Regions from separate parts of the Mus musculus genome. Here all the other regions are reported to be linked to region 3. The links are microRNA targets in miRTarBase. Many come from high-throughput screens and were not tested one by one. Region 3 holds a microRNA gene; each other region holds the end of a gene's coding sequence. Distances are between the middles of the regions.

The links. The annotated mature microRNA mmu-miR-290a-5p reads ACUCAAACUAUGGGGGCACUUU and lies in region 3 at 5,232-5,253, shown strand. An mRNA with a match to its seed (bases 2 to 7 or 8) in the 3' UTR can be bound and repressed. Matches are read on the target gene's strand: a 7mer-m8 pairs with bases 2 to 8, a 7mer-A1 pairs with bases 2 to 7 and ends in A, and an 8mer does both.
Region 1: miRTarBase lists Hhat as a target of mmu-miR-290a-5p. Seed matches in the 3' UTR shown: 7mer-A1 at 2,318-2,324.
Region 2: miRTarBase lists Ube2v2 as a target of mmu-miR-290a-5p. Seed matches in the 3' UTR shown: 7mer-A1 at 5,661-5,667 and 7mer-A1 at 1,376-1,382.
Region 4: miRTarBase lists Ric3 as a target of mmu-miR-290a-5p. Seed matches in the 3' UTR shown: 7mer-m8 at 1,933-1,939 and 7mer-m8 at 2,419-2,425.

The regions. Positions count from the first base shown.
Region 1 is chr1:192,507,436-192,515,154 of GRCm38, reverse strand. It overlaps Hhat (hedgehog acyltransferase), which reads left to right. Exons shown (of 12, transcript NM_144881.4): 12 at 1,180-2,327. The coding sequence ends at 1,271. It overlaps Kcnh1 (potassium voltage-gated channel, subfamily H (eag-related), member 1), which reads right to left. Exons shown (of 11, transcript NM_001038607.2): 11 at 4,996-7,719. Among named protein-coding and RNA genes, the nearest start is that of Gm31011, 4.9 kb to the left of the region's middle.
Region 2 is chr16:15,550,060-15,557,778 of GRCm38, forward strand. Ube2v2 (ubiquitin-conjugating enzyme E2 variant 2) reads right to left here. Exons shown (of 4, transcript NM_023585.4): 4 at 927-6,484. The coding sequence ends at 6,338. Among named protein-coding and RNA genes, the nearest start is that of Gm41424, 25 kb to the left of the region's middle.
Region 3 is chr7:3,213,408-3,221,126 of GRCm38, forward strand. It overlaps Mir290a (microRNA 290a), which reads left to right and starts at 5,219; the gene lies at 5,219-5,301. It overlaps Mir290b (microRNA 290b), which reads right to left and starts at 5,288; the gene lies at 5,231-5,288. D7Ertd143e (DNA segment, Chr 7, ERATO Doi 143, expressed) reads left to right here and starts at 5,377. Exons shown (of 1, transcript NR_028425.1): 1 at 5,377-7,608. It overlaps Mir291a (microRNA 291a), which reads left to right and starts at 5,512; the gene lies at 5,512-5,593. It also overlaps Mir292, Mir292b, Mir291b, Mir293, Mir294 and Mir295, and 1 more gene. RefSeq lists a cis regulatory region at 1-2,195.
Region 4 is chr7:109,031,833-109,039,551 of GRCm38, reverse strand. It overlaps Ric3 (RIC3 acetylcholine receptor chaperone), which reads left to right. Exons shown (of 6, transcript NM_001038624.1): 6 at 669-5,233. The coding sequence ends at 1,108. Tub (tubby bipartite transcription factor) reads right to left here. Exons shown (of 12, transcript NM_021885.4): 12 at 5,093-7,719. Among named protein-coding and RNA genes, the nearest start is that of Tub, 25 kb to the right of the region's middle.

The DNA of each region.
Region 1 (7,719 bases), not on the chromosome of region 3:
TAACACAGGACTGAATCTGTGGAGTTTGGCTTCTGATATTCTTTGGCCCCTCCAATTCTCTAATGTTCCCAAGAAAGTTTGACACTAATATTAAAAACAAGAATAGATCAGATAGCCTAAGATGTGTGTGCTGTAGAAGGAGCTGCTTAAAGTTCTTGAAGTCTTGGAACTGAACCCATGTCCTCTGCAAGAGCAGTAAGTTTTCTTAATAGTTGAATCATCCCTCCACTCCCAAACTTTGACAGTTAGTTCTCTTTCACAAGATATATTTGTTTATTCAGTGTGTATGTGTGTGTGTGTATGAACTTGTGTACATGCATGTGTATGTTTGTGTGCATACTTGTGTATGAACATGTATGCATGCATGTGTGTGTTTGTGTATGTACTTGTGTATGTATATGTGTGCATTTGTGTGTGTGCATGTATATATGTGTGCCTGAGTATATGTGTGTATGTGTTCATGTGTATATGCCTGTATATATGTGTGTGTGTTCCTCAGTGTGTGTATAAGTATATGTACATATGTGTAATATGTGTGTACATATATATGTGCATGTATGCACAGGTGTGCACATGTGTGCATGTATGCAAGAATGCCTGAGTGTATGTGTACCTGAGTGTAGTTATGTGTTCAACAATGCAGCAGTGGCTGTGGAGGCCAGAATAGGGTATTAAATTCTCTGGACCTGGAGTTATAGGGAGTCACCATGTAAGCGCTAGGAACTGAACTCTGGACCTTGCAAAAGCAGCAGCATTCTGAACTGCTGAGCCATCTCTCCAGCCCTATGTTTTGAGTTTTGAAATCTAATATCTAATCTAGGGTCCTCCCTTTCTATGTGCTAAAAAGTACCACTGTGTTCACTGTACCAGTGGTCTGCATGTTGGAGGCTGACTTTGGTACCCATAGGCGTATCTCTCTAGTTATTTGCTTTAGTCTCCAAAGGACATGCTCTTTAAAAGCATGCCCTGTTTCTAAGTGAGTTCGCTTTTGCAGTAATGTAACCACCACTTCCCAGTGCACCTGGTGAGAACACAGGAACCCACCTGCTGGGTTCACACAAAGTTGACTTTCTGGAGGTCTATGATTCTGTTGCCCTTTTCTTGGGGGACAATTTGCCCACGAGGGAGGGCACACCCAGGTATTCTAACTATTCTTCGTCTCTGTCTCTCTTCACACAGGGTGGCCATGGGTGACTCTGTCTGTCCTGGGATTCCTGTACTGCTATTCTCACGTGGACATTGCTTGGGCTCAGACATACACAGTTCTTTAACTGTGTATGGCTGCTGGGCCAGCTCAGCCTCCAAGGGACATGGCATTTCATCCTGATCTCTCATTCTGAGACCATCCTCAAACCACCCTCCACTCCAGGACAGTCCCTGAGGGACCACCCTCCACTCCAGGACAGTCCCTGAGGGACCACCCTCCACTCCAGGACAGTCCCTGAGGGACCACCCTCCACTCCAGGACAGTCCCTGAGGGACCACCCTCCACTCCAGGACAGTCCCTGAGGGACTACCTTCCACTCATCTTCTAATGAAGACGCTTCATTCCAGGACTGGCAGCTTCATCAATCACAGTAAATACACAACTCAAACTTCTAGCTCTGGAGCCTCAGAGATTTGTCGCGTCCCCCCCAGAAGCTTCCTGACGCACAAGGTACAGTCCAGAGCAGTCTCAGGTTTTCCTGACTATACCTGTGATATTTGTTCCCATGAACCTGCTTGTTTTTTTTTTTTTTTCTTCTCTACCAAAGCTTAGGTGTGGCAGATGTGTGTTTTGATATGGAAGTCCTGGTTAGGGATAGGCTTGCCATCCTTGGGATGTCTTTCTGAGAAATTCTGAGATACTTTGATGTCTCCTTTCTATGTGCTGCCCTGGGGGCTCTGGACTAACCTTCGCATGAATGGTCCTTAGACAGGGGATCAGCAGAACCATTTCACATTTCAAGTGGCCCAGCTAGAGTGGGTGATGTGCAGCTGGGGCTTTACAAAGAGTTCTGTAACTTGAACTTTATTGGAGAGTCCACACAGGGCTGCTGCTTTCTGAGACTTGTAGCCATGGAGGAACATGGTGGTTCCTCTCACAGCTGTTCTGCACAGAAGTGGAGTTTAAAAGCCAGAGAATAAGATGTCCACATGCAGGTGGTGTTGCGCAAGGCCTCTGGGGAGAGTGACATCCCAAGGTCCCATGACTTTTACTCAGTGGGTTTTATTGCCTTATTCTCATTTAAAAAAAAAAAAAACAGAACCTGTTTTTGCTACATAGATAATTCTGATTTTTTTGTGGTCTTATTTTGGATATTTTTTAAATAAAAATTTTGAGATCTAAACACATGTGTCTTGATACTTCATCCTTCTAGACAGCTGCTGACAAGTGTCACTGTGGTTCTGTTTGGCTCTGGGTTCGTGTGGGAGGAGGGGAGGGGGGAAGCTCTAAGTTCTGAAGCTCTGTGTGTGGAATTTGGAGGGAATGCTTAACACTCCAGCTATAGGAACTATGACCCTGTGACCGTCAAGGGAAAGATCAGCTGGGCTTTGTGCTGTCTCATTTTCTAAGTGATAGTGTCCCGAATCGTGCCTAGGAATGCCAGTTCAATGGAACAGGTGCCCTTGCAAGGCACACCCTGCCATCAGGGGATCCCCTTTCTTCCTGGCTGCCATGCTTGCAAGAGAGATGTTGATGGACTGGGTTGGGCACACTGTGCTACCTGAACAAAGCACAGACCAGAAGGAGGCAGGTAAGCTGGGCAGTAGCAAACTCAGCAGCTGGCTGAGGAAGACGAGTCAGGGAGACGCAGGGCAGGCAAGTGTGGGATGCTGGGAAGTTATAAGGATGTGGGGGGCAACCACTGAAATGAGTGCCATCTTTTAGAACAACAGAGTAAGTATTTGTGGTCAGCCAGAGGGAGTCTGGCTGAAGCCTTCAAGTAAGGAAAAGACTCACTGAGAAAAACCGTAGTGTAAAAATGATTGTAGTGTCTAATAGAAAGGCAAACCTATCCCCGAGACTACACTGGAAGAGTCAGTGAGTGGTTGGCCATAATAACCCAGAAGTTCATTAAAATGATCTGATTCAGTCATGGTCTCAGCAGCTGGCTGCTGCTCTCTGTGTGGATTATCCGGGGCTCTGTTGTCTCACCTTTCCCTGATCCCTGATGTAACATAACAGAAAAGCACCTCCCAGTGTAGTCTCCACTTGCTGTAGATAGATCCTTGAGTCCGGTTCCTGGGCATCAGTCAACTTCATCCACCAATCAGTCATCCTCACCCACCAGGACAACTTCCGAGACAGTTCCGGAAGCGTGCTGGATAAAGTCTTGAGTCCCTGTCAGTCCCAGGACCTCTGATCCCTGACCTAGTTCCATGAGCAATTGCCCAGCCAGTACCCAAGGAGGGAAGCAAGATGCCCAATGCCAACCAAAGTCCTGCTGTTATCATAAATTCTTGGAACCACACAGAATACTGAATGGCATTAGGCTTGCAAGTTGTGAGAACATGGACTTTTACTGATACCTGTAGTATCTAGCTGTTAGCAAGAGTTGTGGTAATGGTAGTTAGTAGTGCTCCCCTTACAGAACTTGAGACTTTTTTCTTTGCTTTTCTAAAAATACAACTATAGGTTAGCTAAGTACTAGAAATTAACTATAATGTTTATACTTTTAGCAAACATATCAGGATGTATGTATACAATAAGGTTGAATTCTACTTGTTACCCCAAAGGTTCCTCTTGTCTCTGTTGCTAGTTAGTTACAAAAACCCTATTTGTTTCTTTGTTTGTTTTAACCATTAGAGATTAAAGATGCAATTAATGTTCAGCGCTTTGAAATGAGCATTAGTTATTTGAGATTTTAAACAATGTCATTATTAGTTTTACCATGCCCTTCTGTAATGTAATGAAATAGGGGACTGAAGGAATGTTCTCAAATACACCATGTTCTGATGTGGTCAGTGAGGTTCTCCATGTCCTGACTTTGGTTTCACATAATGGATCTCGTCCCAGAATTAAGTCCCACTGTCTGCTTTTTGGACTTTGATGGTCACTGGATCTTAAATAAGACACAGGATGGCAGTCCTGTGGAGTCTGACTCAGTGCCTGTGGGATAACACTGAGTAGGACTGCTTGAGGCAGCTCAATAGCTCTGCAAACTATAGTGAAGTAGGGTGAGAACCCAGTGCTGTTGACAGTCATTCAGGAAACACTGGGTTGTGGGTTTTGCTGTCTTTTCAAAAGTAGGGAAAACATTAATGTACTTTATTCAAAATCCATGTCAAATTGTTCAAGATGAAAACCATCACTTTAGAACGGGAGGTGTGTTAAGGCAAATGCTACGATTTGAATGTGGGTTGTCAACTCATATTGAAACTTGATGCCTTTGTGATGGGAGATAAGGACTTTGTTGTGGTTTGGCTGTGAAGGACCCAGATCTTCAAGACCAAGATCTTAGAGGCAGCCTCTCAGGCTCATTGCAGAGGTAAAACTTCAGAGAACATGCTGTGGTCACTCCGTAAGGAGCACTTAGACATGAAGCATGCTGTCTCCCCAATCCATTATAGGTCATACTGACTGTCAGCTTGACACCGTCTAGGATTCCCTAGATTACAGGATCTCTGGGTCTGTCTCTGAGGGGTTGCTAGATCAGGAATCCCTGGCCTGGTGGGTGGACTGCACCCTCAAGCCATGCGCTAATATAAATCCTCTCTGCAAGTTGCTTGGTCTGGTACTTTACCACAGTATCATGGAAACTGATGGATGCAAGGCACCATCCACATCAGAGCTTCCCACATATTTTTTTTAAAAAAGATTTATTGTTATGTTCTGCATGCCATGTGTGTGCAGGTGCCTCAGAAGCCAGAAGAGGGTGTTGGATCACCTGGAGCTGGCATTCCAGGTGGTTGGAAGTCAGCCACTCATGGGAACTGAGCAGAGAACAGCCGGAAGGAGAGAAAGCATCTCACTGGATGACATAAGTATGTAAGGAAAGGCAAACACAGGTATCACATATAAAATAGTTTATTACCATAATAAATAAAATTAAACTTTTTTTTTTTTACAAATATCATTTGTGCTTGTTTAAAAATGTCAAGAAAGGGGGTATCATCCATGGAGTGCCCACATGTTCTCCACATCCGTACAGCCACACAGGGGAGCTCTTGGCAGCATCCTCAGCTGACCACAAAAATAGCCTCAGCTCATTTGCACCTGTTTATTCATGCTCATTCGGACAGAGGAAAAAGAAACAACAACAACAACAACAAAAACCCCAATAAAGGATTTGGCAGGATTTGATGGAGAATGTTTGTATGAGAAGCCTCAGGATGACGAACTGCTCATGAGTATAAATGTCCTTGCAACTTGGATGGTGGACAGTCTCCAACTGATGCTGAAATACAGTGTCTGAATATTAAGAGGCTACATTCATTGGGGTGGGGGTGGTGGGTGCTGCATTCTTACCAAGAAGCAGTCTGACTTCTGAAAGTTGAGCTGTGAACTTCTCAAGGACTAATAGGTCGATGGGATGACTCAGAAGTCACAGGTATAAAGAGTCAGTAGCTCTAAGGAAGGTCAAGTGGCAGGTGGAGATGCCCCCACCAGGTCTGGCACCTGCAGGAATTCAAGACCTCCTTTAAAGGTTCTGATACACTAGTGTGAAGACTGACGTTTTACTTGAGACTCACTTAAGCTTCAGGTAAGTTCACATTGATTCCTTTGAACTGTGTGAGAGGTGGCAACATGTCTCCACACCAACACCTTGGATGTAAAATGGTTCTCTTTTGGAAGCTTAGGGTCGGTGCTTCAAGGACTCTGAGGACTCTTCCAGGTGGAGGGCACCGGAGCTGGTGAAGATAGTTTTTATTGAAGCGAGTAAGAAGGCAGTACATGAAGCAGCAACAAAGACAGGGACATTTAGGGAGGAGAGGGCATCTGAGGGCCAGAGCAAACCTAGGCAGGCCTCTTTTCTAAGCCACACAAGATGGGGTAAAAAGGGGTACCAACACCTCAATGGCAGTTAGACTTCCACTCAAGGGTCTTAAGGCTAAACAGCTTTATGGCAAAATAAAATACAATTAGTTGCGTGCACATCTATGATTTGTACCTTCACCAGGGTTCCCGAGAGGCCCCGGAGTGTACCTGTGAGATGTCAGTGTCACACAGAGATGAAGGTCTGTCTGCCTCTGACTGGTATTTCTGAAGTGTTCACTCAGGCCCTGTTCCAACTTGGACACACCTAGCATTTGGCTTAACATTCTCTCCTTCCACTGAAGGATTCAGAGACTGACGCCAGCAGGTGGTGGGGTGGTACTGTTTCTACCCCATGTCCGACCATCCTTGCTGTTGAAGCAGCAGGGACTCCTTGAGGTGGAGGCTAAAACAGGGCCTTGGAACCAGATAGCAAGAAATCAAATCGAGAAATGTGAATCCAGAGCTTGCTGGGGAGCCAGAGGTACCATTCAATGGCAGAGCTCTTCCCTAGCATAAGCCAGGGCCTAACTTTGACCTCCAGCACCAAAAACAAAGCCAAGCGTGGCGGGAAGCTGCTACAACAGGCATGAGAGTCAAAACACTTGAGCCCCGCTCCAGCAGTAAGCAGAGAAGTGGGGTTGGCCATGCCGAGATCATAGCAATGCAAAAGCCGCCACATGCCCCATGTTGGAGCCTTGCCATTGCCCTGGGATGACATGGCTGACGAGGCATACTCACCAAAGCCAGAACATCTACTGCCATTTTGGTTCTGATACCCACACTACTGCACACCTTCAGGAAGAGAGCAATCCATCCAAGTCTCTTGTCAGGATAGCCACTGGGAAATTGTACTTCACTATGGCTGGCATTCACAGTAGCTCGTTTAGAGAGACCAAGTGGCCAGCACTTACTAGACAGTAGCGCACCACATCGTGTGTTTGCCACACCCCCCCGCCCCCCAAAAGAATCTTTTGTCTGAAATTTCAGTGTTCAGTCTGCACATGGCAAATTTTGTTTCCCAGTCTCTCCCTAGCCACCAGATAACTGCTAAAGCAGGAAGGTTCAGGCTGTGGGTATCTGTTCCCTGTGGTCCTTGCTCAGAACTTGCCTCCAGCCCAGTGCATGCCATGACAGTAAAGAGACATGGGTTGGCTCATTGAAAATTTGTTTCAGATAAGGCAATCCTAGCAAAACCACTGTAGAAATGGGGAAAGCTAAAAGCCACTGTCAGGTGTTCTTCACTATCATCTGCAGGAACTGAAGCCCTAGACGCCTAGGACCCCAAGGTGAGCAGAGACAGGGTGTGGACCTCCATCTAATGGGACTTCAGCCTGTGCATCGACCCCAGAGAGTAGCCTGAAGCTTTATCTGTCTCCTGTCACAAGGATGAGCTTGGCTGCACCGCCACCTCAGACAGAGTTCAGTCAAGGAGCAATGGGGCCTCTGCTCTGAGGGTCCTTAAATCCCAGCGAGTTCCAGAAAGCTTCATGTGTGTACACCCTTGACTTTCCAGGGCTTTCCAGCCTGTACAGACAGCCATGCATCAAGTCCCAGCAAGTGCCATGGTCACCAATCAGAACAATGTCTTTGGTAGGGCAGGTTTCCAATGTCAGGCTCCTGAGAGAGGCTGAGATTCTGAATCACAACAGCCAAGCAATGCTAAGCAGAGGTGCCCGTGTCACTTGCTGTCCTGACTGCAGAGCCGAGTTTCCAGGCTTACTGGCAGAGTTACGCCCCTGACATCTCTCCAGGTGTGC
Region 2 (7,719 bases), not on the chromosome of region 3:
CAGGAGTAAGGATTAAAAAGAAAAAAAGACAATTAGACAACATTGTAGCATGACCCTAGCCAGTTCTGAGGTTGAGGCAGGTTTATATTTTTCCCAACCTGCTTTTATACCATTTTAATTACATGAAAGCAATAAGGTGAGTTCTAGGTTAAGGAACAAGCAAGACAATAAACACAAATAGTCAAGGAACAAGCAAGGCAATAAACAAAGTCCCCAAGATCACTGTTTTTAAGGGCTTATCAGGATGACCAAGATAACTGAGTCTACTTCCCAGTCCTAGTCCAAAGTCATATTCCTGCCTGAAGCCTACTTCTTTGTTCTAGCCTAAAATCAGATTCCTGTCTGAGCGTGCTTCCTTGTCATAGCCCAACGTCAGATTCCTGCCAAGCAGCTCCCAAAAGCTCTCCACACTTGGCAGAAATTCAATTTCCATCACAAGTCAACACTTTTAAAATCAAAATATTTGCTCAAGGTTATATTCTCCCATCAAAAAATTGAACTTTGCTTATCGGCTGAATCATTCTGAGTTAGCCAATTATATGTGAGTATGAGGCCAAGTTCTGACTACTCAAAGAGGGAAGAGACCCCTTTATACTAGGAATAAAACCCAACCAGACCTCTGGTGGATATTTTTTGCATGATTTGACATGGTTATACATCCTTCTCCAGAAGTGGGGTTTTTTTGCTTGTTTCTTGCTTTGCCAAGATATTTTGGATTGTGTCCTGTGACCTTAGACTCATTTATAGAATGACCAACTGCCCTACAAATGTAACAGGTAATGTCAGTGTGGGAACTATCCACATGTATCATAGAAAGGCCAATTCTAGGAATAACTTGCAAAATTTAAATTCCAAATGTATGAAACTTATACTATCAAACCTCAAAGGATTTGGGAAGCTCTGTGACTACAATTGGACTCCTCCTTACCTTAGAATATCTTCTACTTTATTGGTAGCCAAAAATTGGGGCTTGCATAAAAGCAAACATTGTATAAAAGCAAGCAATTGCATAAAAGTAAACATTCTCCAGGGGTAACATTCACTAAAACTGGCCAAATGCTACAACCAAAAGAACCCTACTGGAAGTATGCAAATTTTAGAACGAGATAAATTCATTGCAAATGAAGACATTACTTAAAGAAAAAAAAACTCATGTTCAAAAACGAGTAACTAACCCTGAGAGAATAAAGAATTCTGTTTTTAAAATGATTTACTCAAAGAATGGATTAAAAATATGAGATAAAAGCCAGACGTGGTGGCGCACGCCTTTAATCGCAGCACTTGGGAGGCAGAGGCAGGCGGATTTCTGAGTTCGAGGCCAGCCTGGTCTACAAAGTGAGTTCCAAGACAGCCAGGGCTACACAGAGAAACCCTGTCTCAAAAAGAAAAAAAGAAAAAAAGAGAGATAGGTCCAAGCTGAGGTGGGAGGAACCTGTACTTTTAACCTACAACAGTTGTTGACAACTTTAGTACAGGCAGAATCTGAAGTGGCTAAGGGGCAACTGCCAACATTTGTCAGTATAGAGGCTAGCAGTAATAACCTATGGAAAGTTTATAGAAAACTTCAATTATGGAAAGTAATAAATGCAACTGTAACCCAAGGCACTGTACTTTAAGAGCCTTCATTTTCCCAATTAAGCAAATATTCATCTCACAGTACAGTTAGCTAAGACTGGGGAAATTCTGGGCAATGTTGATTCTGTCCGTGGGAAGTAGGTAGACAAGTGATTCCCACACTGACTGCTCTTCCTAGAGGTCCTGAGTTCAATTCCCAGCAACTACATGGTGGCTCACAGCCATCTGTAATGGGGATCCGATGTCCTCTCCTGGTGTGTCTAAAGACAATGACAGTGTACTCACATACATGAAATAAATAAATCTCTTGAGACAGACAGACAGAGAGAGAGAGAGAGATTGATTCAGCTTTTATCATTGATCTCATAAACTTAGAAGGGGGAACCTACCGCAGTATTTTTAAATTATATGGAAAAATGAGATGGGGCAAAACCCTTATTTCTTAGCTGCACACCTTTTATTGAAGATATAAACACCACAGCAACCAGCGGTTGCTTTTAAAAGTTCTGTCTCCCCACACCTGCTGGTAGAGACATGTTGGGATTACTCACATACTACACTGTCCCGCTTTCTACATGGCGTCTGCATATCCAAACAAGACATCAGGCTCACTCCTCCAGCCTGCTAATGGCTTTTTAAATCATGTAACTCATTCTATGAGTTTTTCAAACTCCTTGATTTTACAAAATGGTCTTCATTTTTATTTCCTGTATCAACAAATACCTTTATTAGTTTTCTTTTCAGAAAATACTTACAGTGTATCTTTTCAAAATTCCAGAAAACTTCCTAAACATCCAATATGTTCAGTATCAGATTCCCCTGGGACAAGCAAGATGGTTCAGTGGGTAAAGATACTTGCATCTAAGCCAGATGACCTGAGTTCAACCCCTCACACAGTGCAAGGTGCGAACAAATTCCTAAGTTGTTCTTTGGCCACACACACATACACACACACACACACACACACACACACACACACACACACTCATAAATGAATGCACACAGGCATGCAAATGCACAGTCACAGGCACACACAAAATATAGTTTTAGAGAAAAAGTTTATTCAGTCTTTGGTAACTTCTCCAAAGAACATTAACTTTAGAAATTCTATTCCTGTGGACTCCCTGCTTTTTAGTAAGCTCGGTACTGAATGTAAGTTAATCACTTGTGTTCCTACCACTTGTGTTTATTCCTTTTCATGGTGTTTCTAGTTCAGAAAACATGTACATCTTTCCAAAATCTTGAGGCATTACAACTGAACAAAAACTGGTCAAACTGAAGCAATGAAAGTGTATTGCTACTTATCAGAAAAGTAAGATCTGTGTCTGCTATCCTTCCCAATAATCAATAATATTGTAGCTCTGTATACAAATACCTAAAAACTATTCTTATAAAGGAAAAAAACTGTAAGATTCCTTAAGTAGTTTCCAAAATCCTTGTAAGCATGCAAGAATATATGGTTTTAAACTCATTTAGGAAGCTGACATGATTTTGACTGAACTTATGAGAATGGCCTAAAGCCATAAACATCAAACCTATTAAGAGTGGTTTTCAACAATGCTCTAAATTTTCAAATATCAACTTCACATGCATTCTAATGTTGAAGAACACTTCGATGATGGAAGTCAGTCTTGGTGAAGTACTTGTCCTGATAAATCAAACTAAAGTCCCTATTTATTCACATACCCAAATGTTGAGTAAAATAGTTTTTATAAAGGTCAATGTAAAATTACAGGTTTTGTTTTCACACCCAAAAGACTGCCTGTGACAGACCCAATGTTTGTTACAAAAATTCTAGAAAAGTATATACAGATCCCTAAACAAGTGCAATAACTTTATTTTAAATTAACAAATAATAAAAAATTACCAATTCTGAAAATAACAAATAGTTAAAGCCATTAAAGTATAACAGGGACCTACTGGAACAAGAATTTTACTTTTTAACTTTTATTAACATATAGTCATCAAGGGTCATACTTTAAAATCTCTTGAAACAAGTTTCTAAGGCAAATTTCTAGTCTATTTATACCACATTCCTGCAATCCTAGTCACTTTACAAAAGAAGATTTGCTTTTATTTAAAAGAGGCTCTATTAACTCTAAAATTTCATCAATCTTAGATAATCATATATAACTGTTACATGCAAAATGGATTTTGCTTTGGAAATCTGTTAACTGACTCATAGATTTATGCTAAGATCCACAATCCCTTAAACAAGAAAGGGGTTTTTTTTAAATAGGCTGGGCTCTGACAAACAGCCTTGGGTGGAGGAGAGAACTCTCACAGTGGCATATACAAAGACAACATGAGACCAAAGTACCAGATTCTACCAAAGGCTATCAAAAGCATCCCAACACTTACTAGCTCCAAGTATCACAAGACACATTTTCAAGGCAGAAAAGAACTGGTAATGACTCTATACTGTCAATGCAATTGAATGTAATCTTTAATCATTAAATATTAGTATATTTCATTTAAGTCTACTTTAATCAATTACACATGGAAAATGTTATGTGTATGTTCTATGTGGTTAAATATTTAGAACATCTTTGAGGGGCTGAGATGGCTCAATGGTTGAAAATGCTTGTTGGAGATCCGATTCCCAGAACCCACATAAAATAACAGGTAAGGCTATAATTCCAGCCTTGGAAAGCAGAGGCAGGGGGATCTATTTCTATAGCAAGCTGATTAGCAAGTCTAGCTGCATCAGTGAGCTCTGGGCTTCATTTAAAAACACTGTCTGACACTATAAAGTGAAAGAACAATTAAGAGAGACTCCAGATACCACCTAAGGCCTCTGCATGCACCCAACACACACACACACACACACACACACACACACACACACAAAACACGAATAAAGGAAGTTTGTTGATAATTAGACTAGCTCATTTAAAATGAGTCCACTTATGCTGGACATGGTGTACACCTGAACTAGTACTTGGGAGGCTGAGACAGAAATAATTGTGCAAGTTTGAAGCCATCATAGGTTATACAGTGGTACCCTCTTTCAAACTACAACAGTGATGATAATGTCTAGACAAACTAGTTTAATGACTAAAAAAACATTAACTTTTAAACAGCTTAATCAAAACACACCAAGTATATGTCAAGAAACCTATCCTTGCTATAAAAGTAACCAAAAGTAATCAGTATACTAGTCATGCTGTTCCCTTTACTTTCTTTATATGCAAAGTTTGAACATCTCATTTTTTTATTTTGACAATTAAACTGTCAATTTGATAAAAGAATAAAAATAAACTTTCAACTTCAGACACATATTTGTTAAAGTAAACAGAGTGGAATGATAAAATTAACTTCCGTTGTTCTTAGAAGAGGAACCAATGAGATGGCTCTGCAGTGAGGGCCCTTGTTGACACGCATGGTACATGGTGATCAGAGTTCGACATCAGTAACACACAGGAAAGTGAAGGCAAGAACCAACACTCCAAAGGTAACCTCTGATCTTCACACAAGTACACACACGTATGCGCGCGCACACATCCCCCCACCACACACACTGCGCACACACACACTAAATAACAAAAAAAAAATTAAAGATAGGGGAGGAAAGTCTTCAATTCAGTCAATTGTAATGAACCAAAGCTTTACAGAAAAATTAAAATGTCACAAGAAAAAATTAAATGAGTACTGAATAATTTGCAGTTTGTAGCTACAAAAACTGCTAAAATGCAAAGATCTTTTTTAATATTGCCTATGATGAAATAAAATTTGAAATATAGTAACTGAGATACCTCTTTGTGCGAAGAAATTAAACTGAGCATGTACGGTGTCACAACAAGTGCTCTGTAAGTTCCAAACATAGGCATATAGAATAGAATTTCAATGAAAGTCTTTGATAGTCTCACAGTATTTCTTATTTTGTTTTAATTGCAGTCTTATGTACTAGCCCAGGCTGGCCAGGAACTTGTAATCGCCTGCCTCTGCCATTACCATGCCTAGCTTAATAACTCCCAATTTTGCTACCATGATATGGCTACCATAGCATATATCAATGTAACAGAAATAGCACAGTCTCTTAAGACACATTCCATATTTTATTTACATTTTAAGACTAACTTTCATCTCAAAATCACATATCCATACACCTATTTCCTTTTTGTTGACTTCACTTAAAACATCTAAGCATGTTTTACTAAACAAAGACTGTAAACAAATTATTATGTCTGTTACATGTAACAAACGGGAACAGCTTTTAACAGAAATTCAAAACCCCAACACCTTTTATTATAAATACAGGTATCAAAACAATCCTGAACCTATGTTTGTACTAATAGTAGTCAGCACCCACACCGCTTCAAGAATTAACACAATTGTTGACTAGTCATTGTATCTGCTACTTTAAACAATTCCAACTGCAGCTCTAAATATGATAAAGCATGCCATTTCTGTTCTTCCTTCTTGAGACTTTACTTTCCAGAAAAACAAATGTTTCCATGGCCACATGACACTCTTTTGTCATGCTTTTGTCTTGAAAGCCTGAACTCCATTTTGAGTACTTCAGGTTCATGTTTAAATGACAGTGCTTTAATAGAAAGAAAAATTGTGCTGCACGTCTCTTGTTACCTGAAAACATAATAGGTGTACATATATTAAATATATTCTTACAACTGTCCAGGTCATGTTTACCAGCTGCAATTCTTTTACTTATTGTGTGGGTATTGTGCATGGTGATATTTAATCAAGACATTAACATGAGTAGAAGGTTGCTGATTTAAGACAAGTTTGAGATCCACTAAAGTTAGTTGTTGTACGTCTGTCCTTCTGGAGGCTGTGGAAGCTTCATATTTTCTTTGGACATCATAAGACGTCTTAGCTCTTGAAGTATGACTTTAATGCTATAGGAATTTTGCCATTTTGCTAATACTGGTATGCTCCGTGCATCCACCTGAGAGAGGAAGAGAAGAGAGACAATTAACTGCCAAGTGTAAAGTACTGTAGAAGCACAGCCAGACATAGTGGAGCACACCAAGACAACAGAGAAAAGAGGAGCACCAAATTCAAGACAGCCTGGGCTAGATATGGAGACTGTCTCAAAAAACAAACAAAAAATTAATAGTATTATTAATGATGTTAATGTACCTTGTATCAATAATTTAAAAATAATTTAACAAGAATGCTATACTATGCCAGACCCCATAGAGCTCCCAGGGACTCTTGTACCACCAAACAAAGAGTATACAGGAGGGACCCATGGCTCTGGCCGCGAATGTGGCAGAGGATGGCCTTGTTGGACATCAATGGGAGGAACAGCCCTTGGGCCTGAGGGGGTTCGATGCCCCAGTGTAGGGGAATGCCAGGGCTGGAAGGCAGAATGGGACAGGAGATTTCCAGAGGGGAGACCAGGAAAGGGGGTAGCATTTGAAATGTAAATAAAGAAAATATCCAATAAAAGGGAAAAAAAGATTATTTACAAGGATGTTTATATTTTCTTGACTGATTCCTAGTCCAACCTATTGTGTAACCAACTCTCCAAATATGTCTGATTTTCTGCATTTTACAATGAACATGCAGCAGTCTTATTACCAGAATTTCTATATGCATATAAATATTACATTAAGTAATGATTTTGTAATCATTTATAAATACTTGTTAATCGTTGTTGCTGATTTAAGACAAATCTACTCATATTAAGTCAGAACACTCCTTTCTATTTCTAATAAAACTAAGAGGAAGAAAAAGGTTGACTTGTGGATGACACAATCTTGTACACAGACAACTGTAAGAATAACAATAAGAAAACTTGTGGAGGCCAGAAATGGTGGTGCACACCTTAATCCCAGCATTCAGGAGGCAGAGCCAGACAGATCTCTCTGATCTGGATGCCAGCACAGACTACACAGTGAGAATTCCAGGCCAGCCAGGAATACCTTGTCTCAAAAACACAGAGGGAGAGAGATAGGAAAGGAGAGTGGCCAAGAGGGTGGAAACAGGGAGAGGAAAGGAGAAGAAAGGGAGAAGAGAGAGAGAAGAGGAAGCAGGATGGCGGGTAGGGGGAGAAACTACTAAAGCTAGTAAGATCATAGCATCCATATTTTTTTTAAAAGCTGCATTTCTATACATTTGCAGTGTATCTAAAGTCAATTAAGAAAATAGGAGTTGCAGAGATGGCTCAGAGGTTAA
Region 3 (7,719 bases):
TGGTTCTGATGCACACAGTTTAACCTGATAATGATTTTACATTCTGATGCTGAGCCAAGCAACCTGGGTCAGGTATGCCAGCCCCCAAAAGAATGGTTTTCTCCACTTTTCTTTATAGTACCTTCCACAGAAGAAAATAAGGATAACCTGGCAGTTTACCATCTAATGCCTTTATTAAAGGCTATCCTCCAGCCTTGTCACTGTGAATGAAGATGGGATTGACCAGCCCCTCCAATTGCATCAATTAATTTTGAACCTAAAAGGATTTCAAGCCCAGAGGGGAATTTACAGAAGAAAGCATTCTTATTGTAATGCTCAATCCTAGTAAACAAAGCCAAGGGTTGGGTGGCAAAGGGAGGGAGGACTGGGTCATTACCATAAAAGCCTTGCTGCCGACATGCAAATGACTGTCCTTCACCCCAGCCAGTGGAGTTTTGAAAGAAGTAAAATGACTCTCCTTTTTCCGGGTCCTTACTTCACCAGCTGTCAAATCTCATCCCGCAGTTCTGTGAAATTTCCAGTACCTTCTCTCATAATAACTTAATGCTACTATGAAGAAAGAAACAGATGGGGTGGGAGAAGTGACACCAGGTGAGAGGGTCAGTAGGTAAGTTCCATCCCCCGGACCACAGAGGAGAAGGAGAAATTTCTTCAGGCCAGCTGCCCTGTGATTTCTACCAGAGCACCTTAGCATGTGCACAGCCTCCCAACCCAATAATGTCATTTCAAAGCCCCACACTGAGTAGTAGCTGTCTGAGAGTCCCAGGATAGCCAGGGCTGTACAGAGAGAGGTACCCTGTCTGTTGGTGGACACCTTTAATCACAGCACTTGGAAGGCAGAGGAATGCAGATTTCTGAGTTTGAACCCAGACTGGCTTAAATAGAGAATCTGTGTGTCAAGATAAGTAAATAAACTGACCTGCGACCCCCTAATCACATAGGAACAGAAAATAAATATAATCACTTTATATAATGTAGTGTTAATAATAAGAAGAAAAAGAAAAGCCAGCAGTGTGTGTTAGGAAAGAGACAGCAGGTGATTTTTCTGTAGTAGACAAGTTTGAGGCCAAGCAGCTCAGCCTGGGATTATGAGGTCATGGCATGAGTTTGAAGCCAATGAGCTCAGCCCTGTGACTATGATTCTGCCAGCCTCCGTGCCATTCAGACTCCAGGTAACGAAGGAAGTCTAACTAGTTTGCAGGTTAACAGTCCCTTTGGCTGGGGAGAATGAAATACATCTCCCTTCGGATTTGAGCCTGGGAGGACTTGGGAGCAGGTACCTCGCCTGGTGCCTCACTTCCTAGGTGCAGTACAAACCTCAAGATCTCTGCTGGGGTCCCTGAAGCTCAGCATGAGAGGAAAGGAAGGAAGCCCAAGGTTGAAGGCAGGGCTGATAAAAGCAATGTTTTTGCTAATTTTCATATATCCCCAGCTGTCTTTTTTTTTTTTTTTTCCCGAAACAGGGTTTCTCCGTGTAGCCCTGGCTGTCCTGGAACTCACTCTGTAGACCAGGCTGGCCTCGATCTGAAATCCACCTGTCTCTGCCTTCTAAGTGCTGGGATCAAAGGTGTGCGCCACCACACCGGGCTAAAACAGCTGTTTCTTAGTGTCATCATAGAAAGGTTTTTGTCAGAACCTTGGAAGGCAGCTGACAATGATAAAGAGGAGAAGGGGAGCCAGAGTGGCACCCCACCTTTGCCCCTCCACTTCTGAGCTCCCTGCTAGGCCTAAGGGTCAAAGGTAAACTCTAAGGAGGCCTTATGGAGGACTTAAGAGATGCTTCTACATTTTTAACCCTAGGTGCTTTCAAAAGTGTTCTTTATGGAGCCCTTGAGCTGTATTAATGTATAAACAGGTATACTGCCAAACTCAAAGACCTGAAGGCAATCTCTGGACCCCAAGAGGTAAGACAGAACTCAGTGCTACAAGCTACTGTCTAACACCTATATGCTTCCATTTCACCTCTGCCCCTCCCTGCAACATACACCAAAAATAAAACTTTTTTTTTTTTTTTTTTTTTTTTTAGGCAGGGTTTCTCTGTATAGCCCTGGCTGTCCTGGAACTCAAATCCGCCTGCCTCTGCCTCCTGAGTGCTGGGATTAAAGGCGTGTGCCACCATGTCCAACAAAACATAATTTTAAAACGCTCACTGTGGGCCAGCTTGGTACAAGCCCATACTCGAGAAAGCAGAGAGAGATGCGTGGATTTCTGTGACTTGGAGGCCAGCCTGGTCTATATAGTGAGTTCCAGGCCTCTCTTGCCTAGCAAGATCCTGTCACAAGAAATAAGCAAGTAAGGAAGTGAGTGAGTGAATAAATAAATAAATAAATAAATAAATAATAAATAAAATTCTTAGGGTTAAGTTAGTGGGGCACTTTGCTTGGTTATGTTCAACACAGTATGAACAGGGAACAGAGTTGCCAAGGCCATCTTGGGAAAGTTGAAGAGAAGCTAAATCAGTAGCTCATCCCAGGCTAGGCTCCTGGCATCCTAGCCTAGAAAGATCCAGTCAGAAAGAAAGAAAGAAAGAGAGAAAGAGAGAGAGAGAGAGAGAGAGAGAGAGAGAGAGAGAGAGAGAGAGAGAGAGAAAGGAAGAAAGAAAGAAAGGAAGGAAGAGAGAGAGAAAGAAAGAAAGAAAGGAAGGAAGGAAGGAAGGAAGGAAGAGAGAGAGAGAGAGAAAGAGAGAGAGAGAGAAAGAAAGAAAGAAAGAAAGAAAGAAAGAAAGAAAGAAAGAAAGAAAGAAAGAAAGAATTATCCTTCTTGTTGCTGCTGTTTGAGGCACAGTTTCACTTGTAGCTGCTTGGCCTACCCATTGCTGGAATTAAAAGAATGTGCCATTATACTTGACCAAACCCATATCTCTATCTGCTTCCCCAAGCCTAAGACCTAGCAAATTGCTGGTGAGGCTTGTTTGTTCAATTAACAAGACATCTAAAGTATATTAAATATGCCTGGAATTAATGACTGAACTGGGCATACTGGTATATGCCTATTCCAGCCCTTGGAAGATTGGAGACAAAGACTTATGAGTCCCCACTAACCAAAGAACACACATGGGCTGGACCTAGGCCTCTTTGCTCACATGTAGCCGAGGTGTAGCTTGACCTTCATGTGAGTCCTAAACAGCTGGAGCAGAGGCTATCCCAAAAGCAGTTGCCTGTCCCGGAGTTATGATGGTCAAACTGGGCTGCTTTGTCTGGCCTCAGTGGGAGAGGAAGCACCTAGCCCCACAGACTGGAAGTGCTGGGGGGGGGGGGGCGACTCAGAGGAGAAGACTGGGGTTGGGGGAAGGATTGTAGAAGGAGGTGACCTGGAGGGGGGCAGTGAGTAGGATGTAGGGTGAATACATTTTTAAAAATTAAATTAATTTTTTAAAAATGTTCCATTACACACACACACACACACACACACACACACACACACACACACAAGGTGTAGACTTAGGAGTCCTAAATTATTCTTGGCTATTTAATGAGCTTATGGCCAGCTTGGCGTACTTGAGCCTTGTCTCCAAAAAACAAACAAACAAACAAACAAACCCTAAACTCCAAGTCTGCAATATGCCTCTGTAGCTTTAGCCCTGCCGCCTGGAGACCTAATTTCAATCCATGGAGCTATTTAAAGATATTTAATAAATAATAATAACAACAACAATAATAATAACAAAAGAAAAACAGCCGGGCATGGTGGCACACGCCTTTAATCCCAGCATTTGGGAGGCAGAGGCAGGCGGATTTCTGAGTTCAAGGCCAGCCTGGTCTACAGAGTGAGTTCCAGGACAGCCAGGGCTACACAGAGAAACCCTGTCTTGAACCCCCTCCCCCCCAAAAAAAACATATTTAAGCATAGGAGAAAACTAACTCTATCATATTGTTCTTGGACCTTCATATTCAGTGTGGGAAAGAAAGAAAGAAAGAAAGAAAGAAAGAAAGAAAGAAAGAAAGAAAGAAAGAAAGAAAGAAAGAAAGAAAGAAAGAAAGAAAGAAAGGTAAAAAAGAGGGAGGATTTGAAACTCTGGATTTAAAAAAAATTCAAACGAAAGAATAAACTGAACCTCCCACATTCTTCCTTTATTTATTTTTATTATTATCTTAATACTGAATGTAGCCCTGCCTAGTCCCGTGCCTAGTCACCATAGTAGACCAAGCTGGCCTTGAACTAACAAAGATCCTCCAGCCTCGGCCTAGAAAACTATAGGATTAAAGGCGCTGCTTCTAGAAACAAACAAAGAAATCTGTTTCCTCTGGGGGGTGGGGGGGAGAAGAAACCAGTGAAGGTCACTCTGCCGCAGGGAAACTCAGCTCAGAGGAAGCAGGGTGGTAGAGTAAGGATTCTCCGGGGTGGGGGAGGGGTATCAGAGCCTCCCAGTCCAGGGGGCCAATGAGCCTTCAGACTATATAAGAACCTAGAGCCTCCCCCACGCCTCTCAGAGACTTCTACTCCACATCGGGAATGCTGGTCTCTGCGGTCTTCAGGGATACCTCCGGCGTGCTGCTTCTCACATAGGCAAAGGTAATATTTTTAGTTTCAGATTTTTTATTTCCTTCAGTTCTGTGGTTTTAATCTACCTGGTTTAGAGAGGCGAAAGTAGATCCAGGATTTCCAGAAGAGAGATCTTCCTGCTTCAACTTTGGAGATGACTAGCCAGGCTGGCCTTTAACTCTCATTTCTGCCTGCCTCTCTGCCTCCAGATTAAAGGTCATCACGGCCATCTTCATTCTACTTTTTAAAAACTAGAGCCCCTTTTTTAAAAGGCAGGCTAGCCGCGAACTCAGCCTTCCTCGCTCGCCCCCACGGTTTGGCTGGGTTTACTAATCCCGAGGCAGAGGCAGGCCCATCTGAGGTTGGTCTGGTCTCCAAAGAAGACATTTAGAACTAATGTGTGTGGAAAAAGAGTTGGGCTTTTTTTTCTGACTTGGTCTACATAATTTCAAGGGAGGAACGAGCCTATGTGGGGAAAGTGAGTAGTCTGGGCGCGAGTGAAGTTTGGGGACCAGAAACCAAAGCTAGGAGTTACTGAGGGCAGGTCTAGGGAGTCTATGCAGTACATTTCATTAACTACGTGGTTTCATTGTAGAAATTTTGAGTTTCACTATACCTTGAGTTAGACCGATGTACTAACTCTTCCTTGATTTCATCCAGGTTTCCTTCAGGTTGGAGTGAATTTTAAGTTCTCCACGTTCTTTCCTCCTGGTAAATGTTTTAACGTCTGGACCGCCTCATCTTGCGGTACTCAAACTATGGGGGCACTTTTTTTTTTCTTTAAAAAGTGCCGCCTAGTTTTAAGCCCCGCCGGTTGAGAAAACGGCTATCTGGCACATTTACCAGCCCTGGTGCCACGTGTTCCGGGTTAACTGCAGCGTGGTGAGTACGGATTCGAAGAAAGGAATGAGACTGAGTATAGCGAAAGGCTAGGGATGGGCATCCTGCCCAGTAGACGGTAACTGAGGTGGTCGTTGTAGGGTACCTGGGGGCTCCATGTGCGTCCTGTCGCTGCTTGGAGCTGTTACACCTATGTAGCGGCCATCAAAGTGGAGGCCCTCTCTTGAGCCTGAATGAGAAAGTGCTTCCACTTTGTGTGCCACTGCATGGGGAAAACATCATAGCTTTGCATCTGACGCATCGGTTTACAGGAGCGGACAACCTGTGTGGGGGTTTAGGCTTGGAGTTTAATGGGTCCTATCCTAAAGAGGGCGGTTCAGTTGGGTGCCACGAGACGCGGATGGATGTAAGGCAGTCGTGAGTCCAGGTGCATTGTAGATTGTTCTTAAGCTTGACCTCCAGCCTGTGATACTCAAACTGGGGGCTCTTTTGGATTTTCATCGGAAGAAAAGTGCCGCCAGGTTTTGAGTGTCACCGGTTGAGAACTCAAAACGGCTAAGAACTAAGAATTAAGTTTTAGTGGGTCATGTTTTCACTGGGGTTGCATTTCTGGGCAGGTGGGTGTCACATGTGGGTTTGAGTCCGAACACTTGGGCGCATGCGGTACTAAAGGCTTTCCGCGTTCATAAAGGAGCCGGGATCCCACATGGGCCTCGCTCGGAGGAGCTGAGCCTCAGGTCTTGGAAGTTGGAACATACAGTGTCGATCAAAGTGGAGGCCCTCTCCGCGGCTTGGCGGGAAAGTGCATCCATTTTGTTTGTCTCTGTGTGTACATGGCGTCTGAAAAGCCGGCTGCAGCTGCAACCTGGAATCGCTTACCTGCTTGAAACAGGTATGTGTGCTGGAGGTGAATTCGTTGCCACTGGCTACTCGAGCTGCAAGGCTGGAGGTGAGGAGGAAGCAGGGCAGGGTGGAAGGAGGCACTCCAGGTCCAGGGGTGGTGAGTCTAAGCCTCAGGTCTGAGTAAAGAAAGGCCTACTTTTAAATCTCACGTGGCCGCCATATTAAGTCCTCTTTCAATTTTTTTCCTTTTTCTCCAAACAGGGTTTCTCTGTAGCCCTGGCTGTCCTGGAGCTAACTCACTTGTAGACCAGCCTGGCCTCAGCTCCATCCACCTGGGATTAAAAGATCCTATATATCTTGCTTGACTACTGTAGTTGCTATATCTTGCTTGACTACTGTAGTTGGACTGATGGTTGTGAGTCTTGATATGGTTGGATTGAATTTTTAGGACCTGCTGGCTGTAGCTGACTTTAACCTGGCTCCTAGCACAAACAAGCTTGGTGGACAGCCGGGTAGATAATACCCATAATACCTTTTGGCTTTACAATAGCCCAGGCTCATGAGGGCTGGGATTACAGGTGTTACATTGTGTGCCCTAAGCATAATCTTCATGGATTCTCTTTGTTTTTCAGGTGTTCCAGTTGAGTTGAATGTAATCCTGCCTAGCCTGGGGTACTTACTTGCCTTCAACCTGCCTGGCTGGCTGGTCTGGCTAAGAACTGACTATAAAGTTTCAGGTTTATTACCACAGCAGGTCCCTGTGGAAATGCTTCAATCTGTGGTACTCAAACTGTGTGACATTTTGTTCTTTGTAAGAAGTGCCGCAGAGTTTGTAGTGTTGCCGATTGAGAAACTGCAGTTGGCCTAAGTGTTGCATCATTTGGGTGTCATCTGTGGGTATGATTCAGTCTGTAATGGGGCAAAAGTAAAAGCTGAGGTGCACGGAACCTCACGGGAAGTGACCCAGATTTGACAGGTACTGTATTACATATAGCTGCATTTATCCTTTTGGCATTGAATAATCCTTAATCTTCAGTTCAGTTGTAGGCATGTTTGGATCTAGCGAAATTCCATATAGCCATACTCAAAATGGAGGCCCTATCTAAGCTTTTAAGTGGAAAGTGCTTCCCTTTTGTGTGTTGCCATGTGGAGAAAGCATCGGAACTTCAATCAACCAGAGACTCCTTGCTTGCTCATCTTGGTGAGACTCAAATGTGGGGCACACTTCTGGACTGTACATAGAAAGTGCTACTACTTTTGAGTCTCTCCTGTGGGCACCATTCACAGGTCGGCTGCTTTCATGCATGTGTAGTGTGTATCTGAATCCAGATGAAGGTTTCCTGGAACTGGGACATGTGGGTGCTATTGAATGAACCAAGGTGCTATGGGAGCAACCAGTGCCCTCAGCCTCCAAACATGAATAATAAAGTCTTGTTCTCTTGATTTTGCTGCTTTCTCAGTTTTTGTTTTAAAACACCCGCCATGGTTCCTAGGGATAAAAAAAGCTTGCAAGCATGCAAGCACCCTTTTAATCACTGGGGTTGAGACTAAAGG
Region 4 (7,719 bases), 110 Mb from region 3:
TCTTATTATCATAGCCGAGGTTTGGTGCAGTGTTACTCACTTTGCTTACCTGTTTGTTGTTTTTTCCTTTTGTTCCATTTTGTCAAAATGAAGATGCCAACATTGGAAGTTCTGTCTCTAAAAATGCAGTTCTTGCCTTGTGGGGTCTTGGTCATGTCTTGCTAACTTGCCCCAGCTTCTGACAGTTACAGACTATTTGGTTGTTTTGATAAGTAGAAAGCACTGTGGTTTATTTTTCAAAGAGCTTAGCATTCCTTTTCCCAGCCCCACCTCCACCAGAAGATTTGGAACTGGTTCCAAATAGAAATTGTAAATACTAGCCTTAAGCTAAGCCCTCTCCATCTGTAGCGCTGAAGGCTCATGCTGTTTGCATAATCTTCATCAATGCTGCAGAAACATGAGGGGTGAGACTTACCTCTACCCCAAGCACCTTACTTACAAAGGATTTTCCTCTGCCCTGGGTTGTATTTCACAGAGCACTGAGACAGTCAGCCAGACTGCTCAGAATTTGTTCAAGTGAAACTTGAGGACTATTAGGACCATCTTAGAGATTTATTGAATGGATTTGTTAGGATAGGATGGCTGTTGCCAGAGAATGCTCTCTGATCCTGACACTATTTATTTTCAAAGATGCTCTTTTTAAGACTTTGTGCTACTTTCCTCTCTAGGTTACCCAGAAGAGACTTATCCAATATATGACCTTTCGGATGGTATCAAGCGTAGGCAAGAAACAATCCTGGTGGATTACCCTGACCTAAAAGAGCCCTCTGCTGAAGAAATTGCTGAACAAATGGGAGAGATAGAAGAGGAAGGATCAGAGCGTTTGAGCTGGGATCATTTGCCCACTGACCCTGGAGCCCAGAAAGATAATTCTGTTGCCCCGTGTGATCCCAAACCAGAATCATGCTCCTGCTGTGTTCATGAAGAGGAGGATCCTGCTGTCTTGGCAGAGAATGCTGGTTTCAGTGCAGATGGCTACAGTGAGCAAGAGGAAGCCACCAAGGAAAACTTGCCCCAGGACTTTACAAATGAAGGGCTGGGAGTCAGCACTGATAATGCACACGTGGGTGGTATGTTGAGGAAGCGCAACCCCCAGGGTTTTGAGTGAAAGCAGCCTGCTTGGGAAAGTATCCATTACTCTGTTCCCATGGCACCTTTCCTCAGTTTCATCCATGGCCTTGTGCCCTCTGCATCCTCTGTGTTCAATACCATAGCTCTTGGGCCACTACCATGGATACAGCTAATCCTTCCCGGTGCTTGCACACCTGTCACTTTGTAAAGTAGCCAGTAGTGTGAACACGGGACAGAATCACCTTCCTAGTCATGCGCTTCCCTATCAGAGTGTGAACACAGCACAGAATCACCTTCCTATTCATGAGTTTCCCTATCAGAGACACTAATCCACTCGGTAATTGTATTTGGTTGTTTGTGCTTGCAGGTGGTACCACCTAGGCAAATGTCTGACCCCTCCTCATAGGAGCAACAGATGATTTACCTGTGAATGATTTATTGAATGGATTTGTTAGGATAGGATGACCGTGAAAGAGAACTGGGTTAGCTGATATTGAGGACTTAAGTTTTAAGAATGAAGATTTTAGATTCCCAAATGCCTTATTCTTTGGGCCTTCAGCTGGTTAGTGGTCCCTGAGAAGAGCATGCTCAATTCTGAGCCTAGGGGCCCAGAGCACAGCAAGATATCTGATTGAGCTGCAGTCTCTCCTCACAGCCTTCTAAGATGCCCTGACTCCTCCAGAGCAGCAGGCCATGAACTCACGGGCCTATTTGGAGACCATTTTGCTTGTATATTCCCTCGATCCCTGCTTCCTTTGTCTTTATTCTGTTGAACAGAACTGCCAAATCTAGAGGCAACTCTGAATGTCTTCTGTGGCTAGAGGGATTTGGAGGCATTAATCTGTGTCCCACAGAGCTGAAGTTTGAGGCTGTTGAAGCTACAGGACTGCTTAAGTATGGTGGTCCTTCCATGAGGAGCTCAAGTAGCCAGGAAACCCTGAGAATTCTAACAAGGGTGTGTCAGTTCAGTTACATGAATTGAAAGCTGAAAGGCTGTGCATCTCCAACAACATTCCGAGTCATGAAATGGGAGACTCAAAATTTAAGGAATTCTGTGAAGCTGGATAGTCTTTAGAGTTCTATTGTGCCTGGCATGCCTATGATGCCAGAAGATAGTTTGGACCACTCAGGAGCGTACTGCCCTGGCTGTCATCAGGTCTGAGACCACACTAAGACACTGTCAGCTACTAGAAAGCTTTACATGTTAACGGGACTAGAGAAACACAAACGCTGCACTGTACCAATCCCTGTGTAGAATGTTTGATTGAAATTGTGCAGAATGCAGTTGAACATGTACTGAAGATGGTCTTGACATAACTAAGTGTAAAAAGCAACGCAGATACTCTTGTTTGAGCAGATTGTTTTCTGGATGGTTCTGGCATCCACCATGAGAAGTTGATTTAAGATAGCCCCGTATCACTGGTTCTAATTTTTGTTCATAGGATATAATTCTGTTATTAGATAAGAACTTGTTTCCTTCTCATTCATTTGTTGGACAACGGCCCTGTGCTAAGTACTGAGTGTCTGTGCATAGTCCAATGCCCCAACTAAGAAGACTGAATTTGTACGAATTTCAGTTTAATGTGCTAATCTAACAGATGCACTATGGACCATAGGAAGGCTAGAGATTGTGAATTCTTCAGACAGATTTCCCTGCAATTCAGGCTGTGGAATTCTGGATTGGCTCCTTAAGCATCCCAAGCCTGGTTGGGCATCTATAAAGTGTGAGGGTAGTAAAAACACAGGTCTTACAGGGCTGTAAGCTGCAAATGAGGTAGTCAGTGCACATAGGGCAGCATGCTTATGTTGTTAGCTCATGCAAAACAACATATCATGTGGTAGCTGTTTTATTCATTATAGTGTGGACCCTAAACTGTAGGAGCACAGAAGAACAAGAATGTTCTTGCCAAGTACCAAAAAAATCTCAGAGACACCTTGTGGAAAGCTAAAACATGGCAAGAGGAGGAAGGACATTTGGGCAAAAAAAGTAGGTTAGCAAGAACAGTGTGGTTGGTGTATAGATGGGTAATCAGGTGAAAAGGGTTTAGCACCAACTCTATCATTGGGGATTAGCTATGGAAACAATTCCTGCCAAAAGGACCAGTCCTTCATGGTTCTTGCCACTCTACATGTTAGTCTGCATATAGGAATATATTTGTTTGTATATACCAGAAACTTTGAAGAACCTATTAGTAATTTGGAATATAGGCATTTTTTCCCAGAATTTTATCTTTTAGATATGATTTTTACAGGTTGACCAAAATCAAGGGGCTTGGTTTCATTGTATGATCTTCATTTCTCAATATTAAGGGTTTCATCAAGGCCTTACCATTAGGTCTCCAGTGACCTATGGGGCACCATAGCAGTAGTTGGCCTAAGAAGCCACTGTACATCACCTAGGAGTGTGCTTGGTAAGTCAGGTGGGTGATCAGCCAGAAGACCCCTTAACACAGCTATGGAACAAGACTGTGTGCCTCCTTATCTCAAGGCCTGGGCCTGGGAGGTATGCTGAAGAGTGGAGATGGACTCAGCCTCTAGAAATAATGGCTTGAGAGAATTATGTTCTTTGTATTTAGACTTAAGCAATAATGGTCTTCACTCAGACACTCTGGAAAGAAGAACCTAAACTCACGGCATAATTAAACGTTCTCATTGTATGGAAGGTAACAATGCAGGAGGAGCATGTAGTTGAGGGCAGTCCTTCAGGGCAGCAGGAGCCAGCGGGCAGGCTCACAGGGAGCTGAGGTGAATGATGATACACAGCACTTGGCTTGTTTTGCCCCTCTTATCAGTCTGGGACCCCAGCCAAAGGGATGATACTGTCCATAGTAAGGATGGGTCTTCCTCCTCAACTAACTTTCTTGTAAACACCTTCATAGACAAGTATGTTTTCATGGTGATTCTAAGCCCCTTAAGTTGGCAATCAAGAGCAAACCAGAGGTAATAGGTATAAATAAAGATTTTCCTCTGCATGTGTTCTACACAATTGAGGATTTTTTCTTAAACTTGATGACTAAACAAACAAAACCTCTTCCCTTTGTCGAACACCCTGTATATGGTCTTCACAAATGCAATCACTACAGGAACCAGGCCATGTTCAGGTAGGGAATGCTTTTGACTCACATCAAAAACACTTAGCTGAGTAGATAAATGAACCCTAATTATAGACCTGCTCTTAAATTCTTTTTATTTAGACAATTTGTATCTGCAAAGAACATTTCATATGTCACCTATTGGGCAGTGATCAGGAAGGATACTAATCAACTATTCTGTAATCTCCTTAACCATTAGCATGTCTAAAACACTTTGTAGTATCAAAAAACCAGGCCATTCCTTCACTTCAAAGGGTACCACTTTCCTTATGGATGGACCAGGAATCACGTCCACCTTACAGGACTGTTTCTGAAAGCTGCCCAGTGTGAAGTGTGCAATGGTAGGTGCTTATTAGCACATCACTGTCTTGAATCTCATGCTTCTGGACTACCCAACTTGATACTCTATGGCCACTCTGCATGCCAAGAATGGTCCAGAGTCACTCTGAGGAGTTCTTGTGACTTTGTGATGACTCCTTTTAGAACAACTATAGGCTTTCATCATGTTGGCCTCAAATCCACCACAGACTGAAAAAGGGTTCCCACTATGTAAGAGTCCTGTTTAAATAGACCCACCTCCAAGCAAGGCCTGCAGTCATGTGGCTGGGCCTTTCCCACTCTTGAGTACTACAGCCCAGTTCTGTCCACAAGGGCCATGTCCACCAAGCATACTTAAGAACTGTCAGCCAGTTCCTTAAGTGACCAGATGACCTGAAGTATCCTCTAACCCTTTTTTCCCCATGCTATAGATGTGGTTTCACAGGAGAAGGCAGTGCTGATCTGTATGCCACTCACTGGTTCTAAACGTGCTCTGGGCCCTCAGTTGCTCTTACGCACCTGACCCTTTGAAGCGCCTAGAAAGGACTGGGATGGAGAACATTTTAGGAGAGACATGTTCTCTTCTCTATGAAAACCAAGGACACAGCCGTCAAACAGTTCAAGTTTAATGTGTTGATACATGTCTGTACTTAGACAAACACTAAATTCTACAACATACATAATGTCATTATGGGAAAATACCAAGTTTGTCATTGCACATACCAATAAATAAATACATTTGCTTCAGAATACCAAAAAGTTTATTCAAAAAGTCACTTAATAAAAGCACAGTTTTGCAAGTTTGTCTAAAACTCCAGATAATTTTGAACAAAAATAAAATGTCTGACCACTCCAAAATAGGAAAAGACAATCATGTGCAAATCGACATATATGTTCTAGGCGTGAAAACTGGCTAAGTGTGCTCTCAGCTAGAGAAATTTTGCCTGTCCTCACCAAGCTGGTCACCAGTATGGGGTCCAGGAGGTTGGAGCTGGGCTTCTCCTTCTATGCTACTGAGATGCTCTATAGAACACTCTACATTTCAGCCTCATCTGCTCTACCTGGACCTCAGTGGGGGCGAAGGGGCAGGAGAACAGAAGAGAGGGGTGCATTGTCTTTCTTAGGGAAGAAAGAAGGCACAGTGATGAGCTAGGAAAGGTGGTGATGAGAGCCAGGACTAACTTTCATTTACCCTAACTCCTACAGCAAGCTCTGACAGGCCTTCTTACAGGGAGGGAAACACAAAGATTACATGGGTTGCTCAAATGCTCTAGCTGCTCAGTACAGTTGTATGCTCCTAGATCAACTCGCCTCTGTGCTGAAAACTCAAACCCATCCCAGTACTTCTTACGATCTTGAAATGACAGAAGATTGTAAGCTGGAAGTCAATTTGGGCAGGTGGCCATAAACTGAAAGAAAAATCTATCCCATAGCCTGTTCTGGAGACTGAAGCAGATCTAAAGCCAGGGTCTAGGGCAGTGCAAGGTCCCAACTCTGCAGGGCAGTTGGGCCCCAGTCACAGTGCTAGGCACCACAAAAAAGCATGCTTTGATGGCACCTGGCATCCTGAAATCCCATGAGGATATCGTAGCTGGGGCAAGGAATACAGAGAAGGGGAGGCCAGGACTGCTGAGAAGGGAAACCAGGCTGTCCATCTATGAGACAGGTGTTGTGCTTGCAGAGCAGAGCTCCCTGCAGATCCTAGCTAAGCAGTCATCTCTATTGCTTGTTAAACTTAGAACTACTTCTACATAACGTTTGAGGCAAATAGACCTGCCATTTCCATAAAAGAGAAAGAAAAAACAAAACCAAACAAACCCACTTTACAGCATTGTTGCCTTGTCACTGAAGACGGTATGATTACCAAAAGCTCTCTTCCAGACTGTTGCCACACACCTTGGCTTCCGACTCCTGTCTTCCCAGAGGCACACACCTTACTTGCTTGCTTCACCTTAGTGTCAAGATTGTTAAGGCACCATCACCACCCCATGTTCATTTAAAAGGGTGCACATCTCAGCTCCTCCTCCAGTGAACTGACAACACACTTCCTTGACAGTCGCCTGCTCAGAACCATGGGAGAAAGAGCATGGAATGAAGGGGCACCATCCACAGTCCACAGTGGTCACCACTGCCTCCGTTGTCTTTCCCTACTCTGATGTGATCTTAAACTTCTGTTCATTGTTTGCAGATTGCCCTTTCCTCGACACACACACACACAGACAGACACACACACACAGACACAGAGCACCTTGGAGCCAGAAGGACAGAAAAAGCTAGACTTGGAGAGGAGCTGGGGAAGCTAACATCACCACTCTGCAGAAGAACTGGTTTGGAGCAGAGGGTGGAGAGTGTTAGGGTGTGGAGCCGGTAGCATACAGAGGAGCTGCCTAAGGTTCCAGCTGCCCTGCACTCTTACAGACTAGGCTGCTCTTCTCACCAATTTGCTACCCAGCCAAGGACCAAAAAGAAGAGGGGATGAGGGGTAAGGGATCTTCCTGTGGGAGAGGCTAACCCAGGTGATCCCGGGGCCCTGGTATCTGAAGTCCATTAGCCTGTGTTCACAGCGCCAGTGGTCAAGAAAAGGCATTATCACCAGGAGCTGAGTCTTAAAATCTGACCTTGTGAGGCTGGTCTTGTCACTCAGGGCCCGACAGAGGGGTTTGTGCTGAGGCTGCTCCTTTCCACAGTGGGCTACAAAGTTCAGCCTATTTCCTGGTGCTACCAACTTTATATTCAAATAGCCAAGAACCCTCTTTTTTGTGTGTGGTAAAGCAGAGAGCAGAGTCCAAGAGTTTTCCATTGTGCTTCCAGTTCCGCTCTTAACCACCAGGGTCCCCTCCACTCATGAGATTCCAGAAATCAGCCTGTTCAACCTTAAACTTGTCAACCCAGAGAAACAGCCTGACTAGACTAAAGCTCTGGTTTCTATCACCTCTAATGTCAGGAGATTTCTCCCTATAAAGTCAGGGAGGGAGGGCAGACACAGAACTATGGGAAGGAGATGGCACTGTAATCTTTCATCAGGAGATAGGCCAGCCCCAGCATGGAAGTCCTACTGCCCTCTAGAAACTAGACTGTAAACAAAGGCTACCTCGCTGAGGGTTCTCTGATGGCAATGTATGGCTCAGGTGTGTCAGAACCTGCTGCAGCAGGTGTGCCTTTCGTCGAGTGTCCAACCTGGGAAATCTAGAGCTTTCTTAAAGTACTACTTCCATTTACATCAATCCAGCCTCCTTAC